Linked DNA regions of Rattus norvegicus. The protein of the gene in region 2 interacts with the protein of the main gene of each other region in a pairwise test. Links are inferred from orthologs where the notes say so. Each region holds a gene or a part of one and is shown on either strand. Other genes may lie near its edges.

Region 1 (4,110 bases), on a different chromosome or scaffold from region 2:
TATACATTAAAACAGGAAAATAAATTTTAACAATGTTGTAAATAAGCAGATAATATCAACATGTAATCAACATACTTATTTTTTAAATTCACAAAGTTTAAAAAAACCCGGTACATTTATGTCAAGTTGGCCACAGTACAGTGAAATGTAGTCCTAATGAAACTTATAGTTATTAGAAATCCTATCCTATTCATATGTATAAATTTAGATTCATAAGGATAATATAAAAGGTTTTTACAGTGAGCTAAATTTTAACTCTAAAAAAAAAATCTCCTGGGTTCGGTCCCCAGCTCTGAAAAAAAAGAACCAAAAAAAAATCTCAGTATCAACATTTCCAATGATAAATAGTCACTCCTGGCCAGTGGCTACTATTTCAACAGCTTTGGACCTACTCTAGAATTTTGCTTGCACCTCTAGGGCAGACTTTGTACCTCTAGAGGGACCTCTGTTGAGGTTTATTTTTGTTTGCTACGCCACTTGGTTAACACTTGTGCTTTTAGTATTTTAAAAGCCAATTCAAAGAGTTAGAGAAAACTGCACGTTTCTTTTGGAATGTTCACTAAACTTTACCAAAGTTTGCTTGTGAATAAAAATTCTTTGGGCAAAATCAAACAACTTTACAGAAGTAGGTAAACGTGCTGTTGATTTGGAATTAGAAAAGTAAGCCGAGGATCGGTGGCTGAATCACTTTGCCTACTGCTTTGTGTGGCTGTCTTTTAGCTTGACGACAGATTTAACTTCTGCATATTAGGGTTAGCGATTTTCACCTTCCTGACAAGCAAACTTCAGAGTTTGCACTTCTCGAGAGTATACAGAGGTCTTTCACAAAAGCAGGCGGTAGTCGCTGAACTCGCTCCGACAGACAGAGATTTAGCTAAAGCCCTTTTCTATTTTTAGCCAGACCAACTGCGGGTCAATTCAAGTTTCTGCGGGAGTGAAAAGCGCCTAAATACAAAACAGAGAAGCGGAAGGCTAGATCTTTGCCGGGTACCACTCCAAGACTACACCCCGGAGACTACGCCCACCGAAACTCCACTCGGGGAATTGTTTTTGAGGCGGCTACAGCCGGCCCCAGCAAGTCCCCGCGTACAACCCGGAGACTCCATTGCCTTCAAAGCCAGCAGCAGTGCGGCCCCGCCCAGCCCGGACCAGGGGGTGTGGCCATCAGAGAAGGGGCGTGCCCAGCCTTGGGCGCGGGGCGGGTCGAGCGCGGAGGCGGAAGTTCCCCACCGGCTTGAGAGGGACGGCGCAGGCACCGCGAGCCACTTGTCAGCGCTGGTCTGAGGCGGAGGGTGCGCCGCGCGGGTCCGGAGGTGAGTGACCGCGGGCGGCGGCGGAGCACGTCCTCCTCCGCGATGGGAGAAACGGGTGACGGGGTGCGGCGCGTGGAGGGGCGCAGGACGGGAGGAGGACGGGGTGCGCGTTTCCTCAGAGCCGCGGCTCCTCAGGTGCTCCCGGTGCGCGCGGAGGTGTGAGAAGTGCGGGGCAGGGCGGCGCGCCGCGGGTCAGCGTCCAGAGCCGGGACTCTCCGGGACCGGCGCTCGGGAGAGCCGGACGCACCAGGGGGCGCCCGCGGAGCCCGACCGCGGGGGGCGAAGGGCAGCACCTCGGCCTGGGGCGCGCCAGCCCCCTGGGAGGCTCTGGCGAGCGGAGAATGTGCGCCTGCACGGGAAAGCGGCGCTATTTTGTTTGCTGGCTCCCGGGCTACGGAGAAGCGTTTATTTTCTCCTCCGTGAAATATTTGCCGTTGTGTAACCTGTTAGGGTTACAGGTCGGTGCGTCTAGAATGAAAGGCCACTTAGATCGGTCGCGGTCGCCAGTTTTATGAAACTGGTGGACTTTTTGGGGCTTTGGCCAGATTGTGCTTCAGCGGCGTTTGACAATGAGTGGAAAAAGGAAGGGCGTATGGACTGGGCAGAACTTGGAAAGAAAATTCGTGACTGGGCTGGGCAGGTCTAGGGTGTGATCGCCGGATCCTATCCCAGGTCCGCCTTCTTGACCCGAGGACGTCTGAACCCGCCTGCTACGGAAACTGCTAGCTGGGGAACCTTATTTGGCCAACTTGGCTAGGCGTGAACCCTAGCTGGGAAACGTCTCATCCTCTTTCATCCTAAGCCTTAGCTCTTTAGTCCGCCCACCATTCTATCTCAGGAGGAGAGAAAGAATCTCTAGGTAGTCTTAATTGAAGGGCTTACCACTCACCACAGTAGGTCTGCCCCGTTACGCACACCAAAGAAGCTGACACTGAAGTGTGGGAAACCACTTTTAGCGTCCCTCACCAGCAGTAGATGGAAGGCATTATTTAGACTGCCCCTAAAAGAAAATCCAAAACTCTACAGAAATTCCAACGTTTTTTACATGTTTGAAAGCAGAATAAGCTGTTATTTCCTGCCTGCTTGGTTGGTATTTTAGCGTTTGGGCACTAATAACCACATGGGGGAGACTTGGAAAAGGCCAATGACAATTCTGCCCTTGCTTAAGGATCAGAATATTTTAAGACAAATGAATTCCAAGTGAAGCTAGCGGAAAGGGAGTTTAGGGAAGAGACTGGTGTTGCGGTTTGGCTGACTTGACTAGTACTAGAAATGTTAATAACAAATGGGAGAAATCAGGAAGGGAGTCCCTAAGAAAAGGGAAGTTACATGGATGTGGGCTGATACCCACATTCTCTCCTAGGGAAAAATGGAGCCAGAGTGCGTTTAGCGTAACTTTCACATTCTTCCCTTGACACAGTTAAAGATTAAGAGACGACAGTGGCCTGGGAACTATCAGTTGGTTTACTGATTTATTTGTACTGTATGGCACGATCAAGACTGCCTCTACTGGTCTTGGGGAGATCCTGCTCCAGCTTGTTATTAACTCCCTAGCATTTAGTTTTCACCTGCCCGTTGGCTTCCTGTGGGTCTTTTTCTATAGCCACTGCTTACTACTGCGGTACGGAAGTAACGCTACAACACAATAGTTCGGCACTACCATTCCACCTTAAAAGATTTGCAGTGCACAATATCCCGGAACTAGATTTCCTTTAAAGTGTTGCCTCATTTTCCATTCTTGAGAAGAAGGCGTCCGTTTTTTGCCTTCTCTGTGGTACGTGTGCTGCTGCTGAACTTGATGACATGGGTAGGTGTTAAAGTGGATGTAAAAAGTAGTATATTAACACGGTTGATCAGACTTCATCTATTAAATCAAGCATGTCAATATACTATATATTCATATATATACTCATATATATATATATGGCCTCATAAATGCTACACAGACTCTGTACCACTGAGATATATTTCTATCCCCAAAGCTTTGTTTTGACAAGTGTCTTTAAAGCATTATAACATCATATACCTGCCATACTTTTAGACAGAAGAACTGTATATCTCTATTATTCTTTTTAAAGAGGGAACAATGTTCATTATTCCCAATGCCTCCTAACTACCAGTAGGACCCTCTTAAGTCAACTTGAGCTTTTAAAAGAGCTACCCTGAAGTCATTATGAGCCTAAGAACAGCAAGACAGGAAAAAAAAAAAAAAGAAAAAAAGAAAAAGCACTGCATCATGGTAATTTTCTAAGGCTCCAATTTAGTTTCATTAAGGTTAACCTTGTATTTCAGTTATGGTTAACATAGCCTCATTTACTCGCTTAGGAAGGCTTAGTCTCTGCTCTGCTGGATTATGTATAAGCATAAAAGAAAACAAAAATTTAGAGTAAGATACTACCTGTTCTGGAATGTGGCCCATCACTGCCTAGATGAAAGAAAAATAAGGACTTAGGTTTACTTCCTAACCCCATAAACAAAGAACTAGACAAACAAAAGCCTAGTTTTAGACATATTTCATACTTAGAAATTCTGAACTGTTACATCAGCAACCTTATCTTTCCTTCCTTGTCATACTTTTACACATTTTAAACTCCACCTAAACTTCTCTTCTATCACACCAGATTTACCAGCATATGTAGATATCTGACCCACTGAGGATGAAGCCACACTAGTTTTAGGGATTCTAGTTTCTAAGGAAGAATGACTTCAGGGATAATGTGCACTAAAGGTCCCTTAACTGTGGAAAATACCATGTTCCAATAGAGGAGGCTAGGAGTTACGGTTCTAAATCAGAATA
Region 2 (3,196 bases):
TTCTGAGCACCTTTCATTGGTTGGCCCTGGGGAATGGGGAAGACAATATACAGCAGATTATACTATTACCCTGTTGTGTTTCTGGGACCTCCAACCTCAGTAGCTCTCTTGGTGACTAATATTAATTTATTAGTGTCTCGTTTCTAAGACTTTTGTGTATTGTGAACACTAAGTATCCTCTCCTCATTCTGTACTAACACTGATTGCTTGGAGTTCAGTGACAAAGTTTTCCATTTTTCTCTCTTAGCAGTAATTCACTGCCATAGCGGATGAGTTTTTGTGGAGTCTTGTTTGATTAATTGTTGACCCTGACCCTATGTTTTATGTTTTCACAATGCTCTTTTTTCCTGCTAACGTCATTCACATCTTCAGGTGAACACCTTTGAGTTCAGCCAATCTCACAGAAGGACCCAGCCTCTAGGGCTGTCTTGTCAATCTCACAGAAGGACCCAGCCTCTAGGGCTGTCTTGTCAATCTCACAGAAGGACCCAGCCTCTAGGGGCTGTCTTGTCAATCTCACAGAAGGACCCAGCTTCTAGGGCTGTCTTGTCAATCTCACAGAAGGACCCAGCCTCTAGGGCTGTCTTGTCAATCTCACAGAAGGACCCAGCCTCTAGGGCTGTCTTGTCAAGTTCTCTTTACTCAGTGGTTTGGCTCTTAAGGAATGATCAGAACAGACAACATTGATATCCTCCTACTCTTTCTGCTTGTTGTCTGCAAGGACTTCAAGGAAATCTTGTCAGATACCTTGCATAGTCTGTCAGGTTCGTGACACATCCAGATGCTTGTGATTTCCTGGAGCCCAGAAGCTCTTTGGGACACCCAAATAGCCCGGCATTGTCTATGTGCCCATGGACGTGGGCTGCCTGTGGAGCCTTTAACTGTGGCTACACCTACACCAACAGCAAATGGCTGTCCCTTCCCTGCATCCTTCAGCCATCGGTGGCTGCTCAGCCACTAGCAGCTGACATCTGGGCTTTTCTTTTTTAGGTTTTGGGACAGGAGCCAATGTAGCCCAGACAGGCTCCAAACTGGCCATGCAGCAAAGTTCTGGGATTACATGTGTGCTACCAGAGCTAGAGTAAATGCCTTTTCTAGATATCCGTTTGTCATGAGAGGGCCTGGCGTGTAGACCAGGCAGCAGCACTCATGTGTGCTCCTGCTTCCTAATTTCTATTGTGGATTGTTTTACGTCCACTTCTAACATTAATTTTTTCATTTTATATATTTTTTGTTCTTAGCAACTTTTCCTATAAAATTGGGAGATTATATGCTCTTTGTAATTAGCTTAAATTTTTCTTTGAGAACAGTTATTCTTTAATCGAATACGTTAGCTTTAATGAACTCCACTCCATTTTTTTCCTCAAGACATCTTCCCCTTACGCTGTAACTTTTGATTCAAAATCCAGATTCTTTAAGCAACACAGTAAAGCGAATAGTAAAGATAGGAACTATTTCTCTCATTTTTGTGTTCAAGAATTCTTGTTTCCTGAATGTTTTCTTATGGCGTGTTTTCCTACCCATGAGGCATCAGGGTTTCCCAGCAGCCAGAGCATTTAGAAGCCTGATGGCACTCAGTGCATGCGGCAGGCTGTCAGGCCATGGCCCCGTGACTGAAGGTGGAGAGCTGGGGTGAGGAGTGCATTCATTGGCTCATGACACTGCTGTTCAGGACCAACAGCAGGTTCCCCTGGATTTCCTCAAAGTGACATCACCTGGCACACAATCTCTGGCCACCAGTGATCTCTACTTCATTCTGCAATGCATTTTGTTGCCTCCTCTCATGCCCACACTCCTTAACTTAGCTCTCACTTCTCCATAAAGTCAGTGAGCTACACCTACCCTCTCTAAAGGCCCAGGTTACCCCACCTCTTCTCACACACCTACATGAAGAGTCCCTGAAGGTGGGCCTGGAATCTTGCTTATGCAAATAGGAACCAATATTCTCATCCCATGGAGACAAATCAAGCACAAATACAGGGATAACCTAAGTAATCATACAGTATCCTGCCACAAAACTAGTGTGCTGGAATGAAACCACAGAGTCTCCATGATCTCCCTGGAGGTGAGAGAGGCTAAGCCATAAGAATGTTCCTGAGGGGGTTGGGGATTTAGCTCAGTGGTAGAGCGCTTGCCTAGCAAGCGCAAGGCCCTGGGTTCGGTCCCCAGCTCCGAAAAAAAGAAAAGAAAAAAAAAAAAAAAAAAAAGAATGTTCCTGAGGCATGCCCTCTAGTAGGCCGTGTTTTCTGGCTTAAGGACGGGTTCAGGAAGAAGGCGTGGAACTCACTGTTGTTTTTTGGTCCCCACAGAACATGTTTGGGATGTGGAAGCCTATGGTATTCTTGGCTATTGCAGCAGTAGCTCTGTATGTGTTACCCAATATGCGACCGCAGGAACCAGAATTCTACATGAATTGATGGCAGACCTGGACCAGCCCAGAGGGCAGATCCCCAGAGGCTACCACCCTCACCTTTGGGCAGAGTACACTGTGCCAGAACCCCCCACCCCATCAGTGTTTCTCCATCTCCTTTGCCTCAGTATTCAAGACTGAAAAGGCTTATGGGAGTTGCTGGCTCTCAATCTCCTGCCTTGTGTAAGAACCTGGGTTCCTTGTAATTAAATGTCAGCCTGATTACATGAGACGTTGTGTGACTTTTTCTTCAATAAATGTTTCACATAACATTGAACAGAGCAATTACCCTTCAACCAAGTATATCCCATAAGAGTCTGTTTTAAATATGATTTTTCAGAAATGAGGTTGGTTCCCTCTGCTGTCGGTTCTCTGTGAGTCTGCTGCCAGCTGAATCACAGAGATTGATCTGACCCTATTCAATCCTATCTCAAGAAACTCTTTTTTTTTTTTTTTTTTTTTGGTTCTTTTTTCCGGAGCTGGGGACCGAACCCAGGGCCTTGCGCTTCCTAGGCAAGCGCTCTACCACTGAGCTAAATCCCCAACCCCTCAAGAAACTCTTATAAACACAAAGAAATACAGCAAACTGGGTACTCTGTGTATGGGGCTAGAGGCAATGGGCAAACAAAAGACCTTCCTGGCTTACCCTCTCAACTTAGGAGATTCATTTTTGGAGACATTTTAATTAGTCAAGAGCCTGGCAGCAAACAAGACAGTCAATACTTGGACTGAAGAACATTTCATGAAGCAATTGTGTGTGAAAGACAGGAGAAGGAAGGAGTGGTT
Region 3 (4,253 bases), on a different chromosome or scaffold from region 2:
CACCTCCCCAGGGGCCTGCCACCTTGGACAACGGTGGCGGTGGTGGTGGTAGTTCCTACTCTTGCCTTTTTTTTTTTTTTTTTTAACAGAGATTTTGATGTCTCCCTTCTCTCTGAGAGTCTCCATCGCTTTGCAAAGTTTCCCCACAGAAACTGGCATGGTGGCATCATTTTGCACAGATGCACTTGGCTTCCTCTTGGGACAACGGAGCCATGCAGCTAAGGCTCCCAGCCAACTGGTCCCACACACCTACAGACCAGGCATAGAACTCACTGAGGACCTTGAATGCAGCTTTTGACTTTGTCTGCCAGATAGCCTCATCCTGTATGTACTTGGTCCTCCCTAGCCTTCCTGGCAGTGTCCTTAAGTGTAGAGGTCCTGAAAATCTCAAGGCAGACGAAAGCTTGAACTTTTTTAGATGCATACATTCTCAGGTTTAAGAAACATAATTGCAAAGGCTATATTGTTTGCGTTAAATGAAAACGAAAAAAAATTCGTATTTTTAAATGTACAAGAAATTTAAATAGTGCCTTGTTTTGCTTTTGTTTTTGTTTTTTTGGACGAGTCTAGGCTGACCTCAAAGTCTCTGTCTTGTCTCATATCCCAAGAGCTGGGATTGTTAAGTATGAGCCCCTAAGAGTGAAACTTAAGTAAAGTTTTATTGTCCATATTTCAGATCTTTTTTTTTTTTTTTTGGGTTCTTTTTTTCGGAGCTGGGGACCGAACCCAGGGCCTTGCGCTTCCTAGGTAAGCGCTCTACCACTGAGCTAAATCCCCAGCCCCCGATATTTCAGATCTTAACATTTAAAGATGCACCGACTAGGGCTCTAGCACACTAACTCAGTTCCCCCGGCAGCTTTAAGCGGTCATGCTATCAATGCGTCTATTTGTGGGTAAGGAAACAGTTCTTTTTTTTTTTTTTTTTTTTTTTTTCCGGAGCTGGGGACTGAACCCAGGGCCTTGTGCTTGCTAGGCAAGCGCTCTACCACTGAGCCAAATCCCCAACCCGAATCAGTTCTTTCTGCAAGTCATGTGGACCCTCTCCCGCTGTCAGGCTGCTGCAGTTGTCTCTGCTGGGTGGGAACTGAGCTCTGTTCACTGCAGCTACCCTGAAGCCATCCATCCCCTGTCCTGAAAGCAGGGCCATGGGCCTGTGAAGTCAAAGGAGGACCCCTCCAGGATGCCCACGCCTATTTATCCCGCTAGGAGAGAAGGCTGCTTGCGGGAGCAGCCCCTGGATTTTCCACTGTAAGTGAATGAAAATGAAGCCTGGTGTAACCTGAGCTGCAGCACAATACTGATCGAGGGAGAGATGGTGATCGAGGCCTCTATTTCATCCTCTCTGCCAAGCCCTGTGTGTCCCCTGGTACTGGCATCTACCCCAGCACAGGCTTCTGGGCCCCAGCTTGGTGGCAGACATATCCCTGAGCCTCCTTCCCACGGCTGCAGTTTAGCCCACTCCCCAAAGTACCCACACTAGGTGAGTCAGGGGTTGAAACGAACCCTGTTCCCTTGAGGCAACCAACCACCTGGCATCAAGTCACTGTCATCAGTCACTGTCATTTCCTGTAGCTCACGTGAAGGGCTCCCTAACCTGCCCAGCTGGAGGAGGGACTTAAGCCTCAAGAATCCCAGACACTCCTGGCCCTGGAGGCAGAGGACTGGTGATACACCACCTCTTAGCAGATTCATGCCCCTTTCTGTCCCGATGGGCTCATCTTTCTGAGGCATAGGCCTAGCCACATCTGTGGCTTTGTCACTGCCCTCACTTACGTCCTCTACCCTACAAGACACTTCATGGACACACCTAAAACACCACTAAGTCCCTTTCTTCCTACCCAGATGTTCAGGGCAGGTCAGCAGGGAGACCCAGTCAGTCTCACTAGGTGCTCGGGAACCTCCGCAGTAGTGACCTCAGAGCTTCCCAAAGCTGCCTGCTAATTGTATCAGAATGTGCTGACTGAGGACTAAGAGGGGGATAGACACCCTGTCACACCTATGACCCTTCCTCCTTGCTGCTTGGATCCCTTGCTAGACTCTCTGGCCACAAGTGTCCACCCTGACAGAGTGGAGAAAATGGCAAGAGCTGTACATTTACATTATACCATCGGCTCCTCTCAGGCCTCTTGAGCCCTGAGCCTGACCCTCTGACCTGTTGCTAGCACTGCTCTCTATCAGATGCTTGCAGCAACCCACCTACTTTTATCACAGAATCCTCTCGCTTTGGGGAGGGGAGGTCCTGTAAAGGAATTTGTGCAGGTCTCCATTTCTCTTGCACTTTGGAGGTGCCCAGAACTTGGGGAGGGGATGGGAGTTGAAGAGGTAAAGTGAAGAGATCAGAGATGAGAGAGATCAGGACAAGTATCCTGGCTTGTGGAGAGGTGGGTGGGCCTAGGGGGGGATCACACAGGGTGTTTTTCGATTTGGGGTTGGGATGGATAGATATCTCTACAAGTCCAAGAAAAGGCAAAGAAACAGGCTTCCTAGAAGCAGAAGGTATCTTGTGATTTTCTTCTTCACCCCCTTTGCTCAAGTACCCCTCCTAGTGCTCCCTGCCCTGGAGAGAGTCTCACCCCCCCACCTTTAGGGCTTCAGTTGTCCTCTGTCCCCATATCTTGAGGAGCATTTGGGTTTGGTTACAACGCTCACCAAGTCCAGCGGGCAGCCTCTCAAATGCTCTCCCGAACTCAATGAGGCTTTACTTAGCCATACTTGAAGCTCTGACACCAAAGAGAGGGCTACTGACCTGTGTCCGGGGGCACTGGATGGGATCTGGGGGCTTCTTTCCTCGCAGGGAAAAGACGGCTGTTGTAGAGTCTAGAAGCTGGAGTCTGACTGGGGCTGGGTAATCCGGAGCTCAGGTTACGCTAGCTAGATATATATAGTATCTTATCTGACCTCGCCGAGATGGCAACTCACTTGCATTCCAGGCCCCAGGAGAATTAAAGGGGCAGTGACAAGCCCACCTTCCACCCAATGCCTAGTGACTGGGTGGAAGCAGAGAATGAGCCAGAATCCTGGGAATACTTGGAAATAACAGGAAGGATCAGGGGTCAGAGCAGAGGGCTGGGGATGAGTCTGAGTCCCAGACATGGAGAAGGTGGATTCTCTAGTGCTGTCCGTCACAAGTTGAGCGAACACGAAGAGGCCAAACTGCTAACCCAGCTGCTGGTGTTTTAAGATAGGGAGGACCGGGGTTGGGGATTTAGCTCAGTGGTAGAGCGCTTGCCTAGCAAGCTCAAGGCCCTGGGTTCGGTCCCCAGCTCTGAAAAAAAAAAAAAAAAAAAAAAAAAAAAAGAAAAGGAAAAAAAAGATAGGGAGGACCTAGCTCCTCTCTGGACACGGGCAGAGAAGAGTGGCTGGGACCAGCCCTTGGTTTTCAGTCCACTACTGTTTTTACAGTGGACTTCTAGGTCTAGGCCTGAATTCTTATTCTTTCCCTTCATGGATCTAAGATAACTTCTGAGGATACTTAAGTCTCTGAATCTTAGCTATGTAGTTTGTAAAACTGAATCATAGAGCTAGTATGGTGGCGCATGCCTTTTATCCCCAGCACTTGGGAGACAGAAGCAGGCAGATCTCTGAGTTCAAGGACAGCCTGGTCTACAAAGCAGACAGCCAGGGCAACACAATGAAACTCTGTCTCAAAACCAAACCAAACCAAACCAAACCAAACCAAACCAAAGGAAACCAAAAAAACCCAACCAAACAAATGCACACAAAGGAGAAACTCAAAGGAACAAATAAACAAAAACCATGAATAATAAGGTGTGATTACATCTCACAAGGATAAGGATAAAACAATAGTTTTAAGCTTCCTCAAACAGAGCCAGGGTTCAATAACGCCAGGCTTATTGGCCATGTCCATTCATCTATTCATTACTAATGGCAGTTGTAGCAGACAACCCTTAATAGAAGATAAAGGCTTTGGGCTACCCCCCGGGATTGCGACACCAGACACCAGCCCTGTGGTTTTCTGAACTAGTCCACATCTCCCAAATGGAAAAGTCAGACAGATTTTGCCACTTTCCCAAGGCGACAGGCCACACTCCTTTCCCCTTTGTTCAGAAAAAAAAATTATATATATATATATATATATATATATATATATATATATATATATATATATATATAAATCAAGTGTGGCTTCTCTGGGCTGCCAGGAGAATGCTTGGCTCCAGAGGGGCAGTTCCAGTCTACCTGTTGGAGGGCTCAGGCTTCCGGGGTATCAAGGGCAGGCTGGCCAGGGTCAT

The links. The genes of interacting proteins can lie anywhere in the genome.
Region 1: the proteins of Ccdc136 (region 2) and Pdlim5 interact in binary tests that used the Homo sapiens proteins (3 or more experiments, as listed by UniProt). The two-hybrid records come from large-scale screens. The link is inferred for Rattus norvegicus from reciprocal best matches to the Homo sapiens genes CCDC136 and PDLIM5.
Region 3: the proteins of Ccdc136 (region 2) and Usp2 interact in binary tests that used the Homo sapiens proteins (3 or more experiments, as listed by UniProt). The two-hybrid records come from large-scale screens. The link is inferred for Rattus norvegicus from reciprocal best matches to the Homo sapiens genes CCDC136 and USP2.

What each region holds. Positions count from the first base shown.
Region 1 is NC_086020.1:233,790,647-233,794,756, reverse strand, and holds the start of Pdlim5 (PDZ and LIM domain protein 5), read left to right. Parts: upstream 1-1,280; 5' UTR 1,281-1,313; intron 1,314-4,110. UniProt on the Homo sapiens protein: May play an important role in the heart development by scaffolding PKC to the Z-disk region. May play a role in the regulation of cardiomyocyte expansion. Isoforms lacking the LIM domains may negatively modulate the scaffolding activity of isoform 1.
Region 2 is NC_086022.1:58,990,323-58,993,518, forward strand, and holds the end of Ccdc136 (coiled-coil domain-containing protein 136), read left to right. Parts: exon of another isoform or gene 1-1,261; intron 1,262-2,309; coding exon 2,310-2,417; 3' UTR 2,418-2,640; downstream 2,641-3,196. UniProt on the Homo sapiens protein: May play a role in acrosome formation in spermatogenesis and in fertilization.
Region 3 is NC_086026.1:53,309,447-53,313,699, reverse strand, and holds the start of Usp2 (ubiquitin carboxyl-terminal hydrolase 2), read right to left. Parts: upstream 2,831-4,253; 5' UTR 2,747-2,830; exon of another isoform or gene 1-2,746. UniProt on the Homo sapiens protein: Hydrolase that deubiquitinates polyubiquitinated target proteins such as MDM2, MDM4 and CCND1. Isoform 1 and isoform 4 possess both ubiquitin-specific peptidase and isopeptidase activities.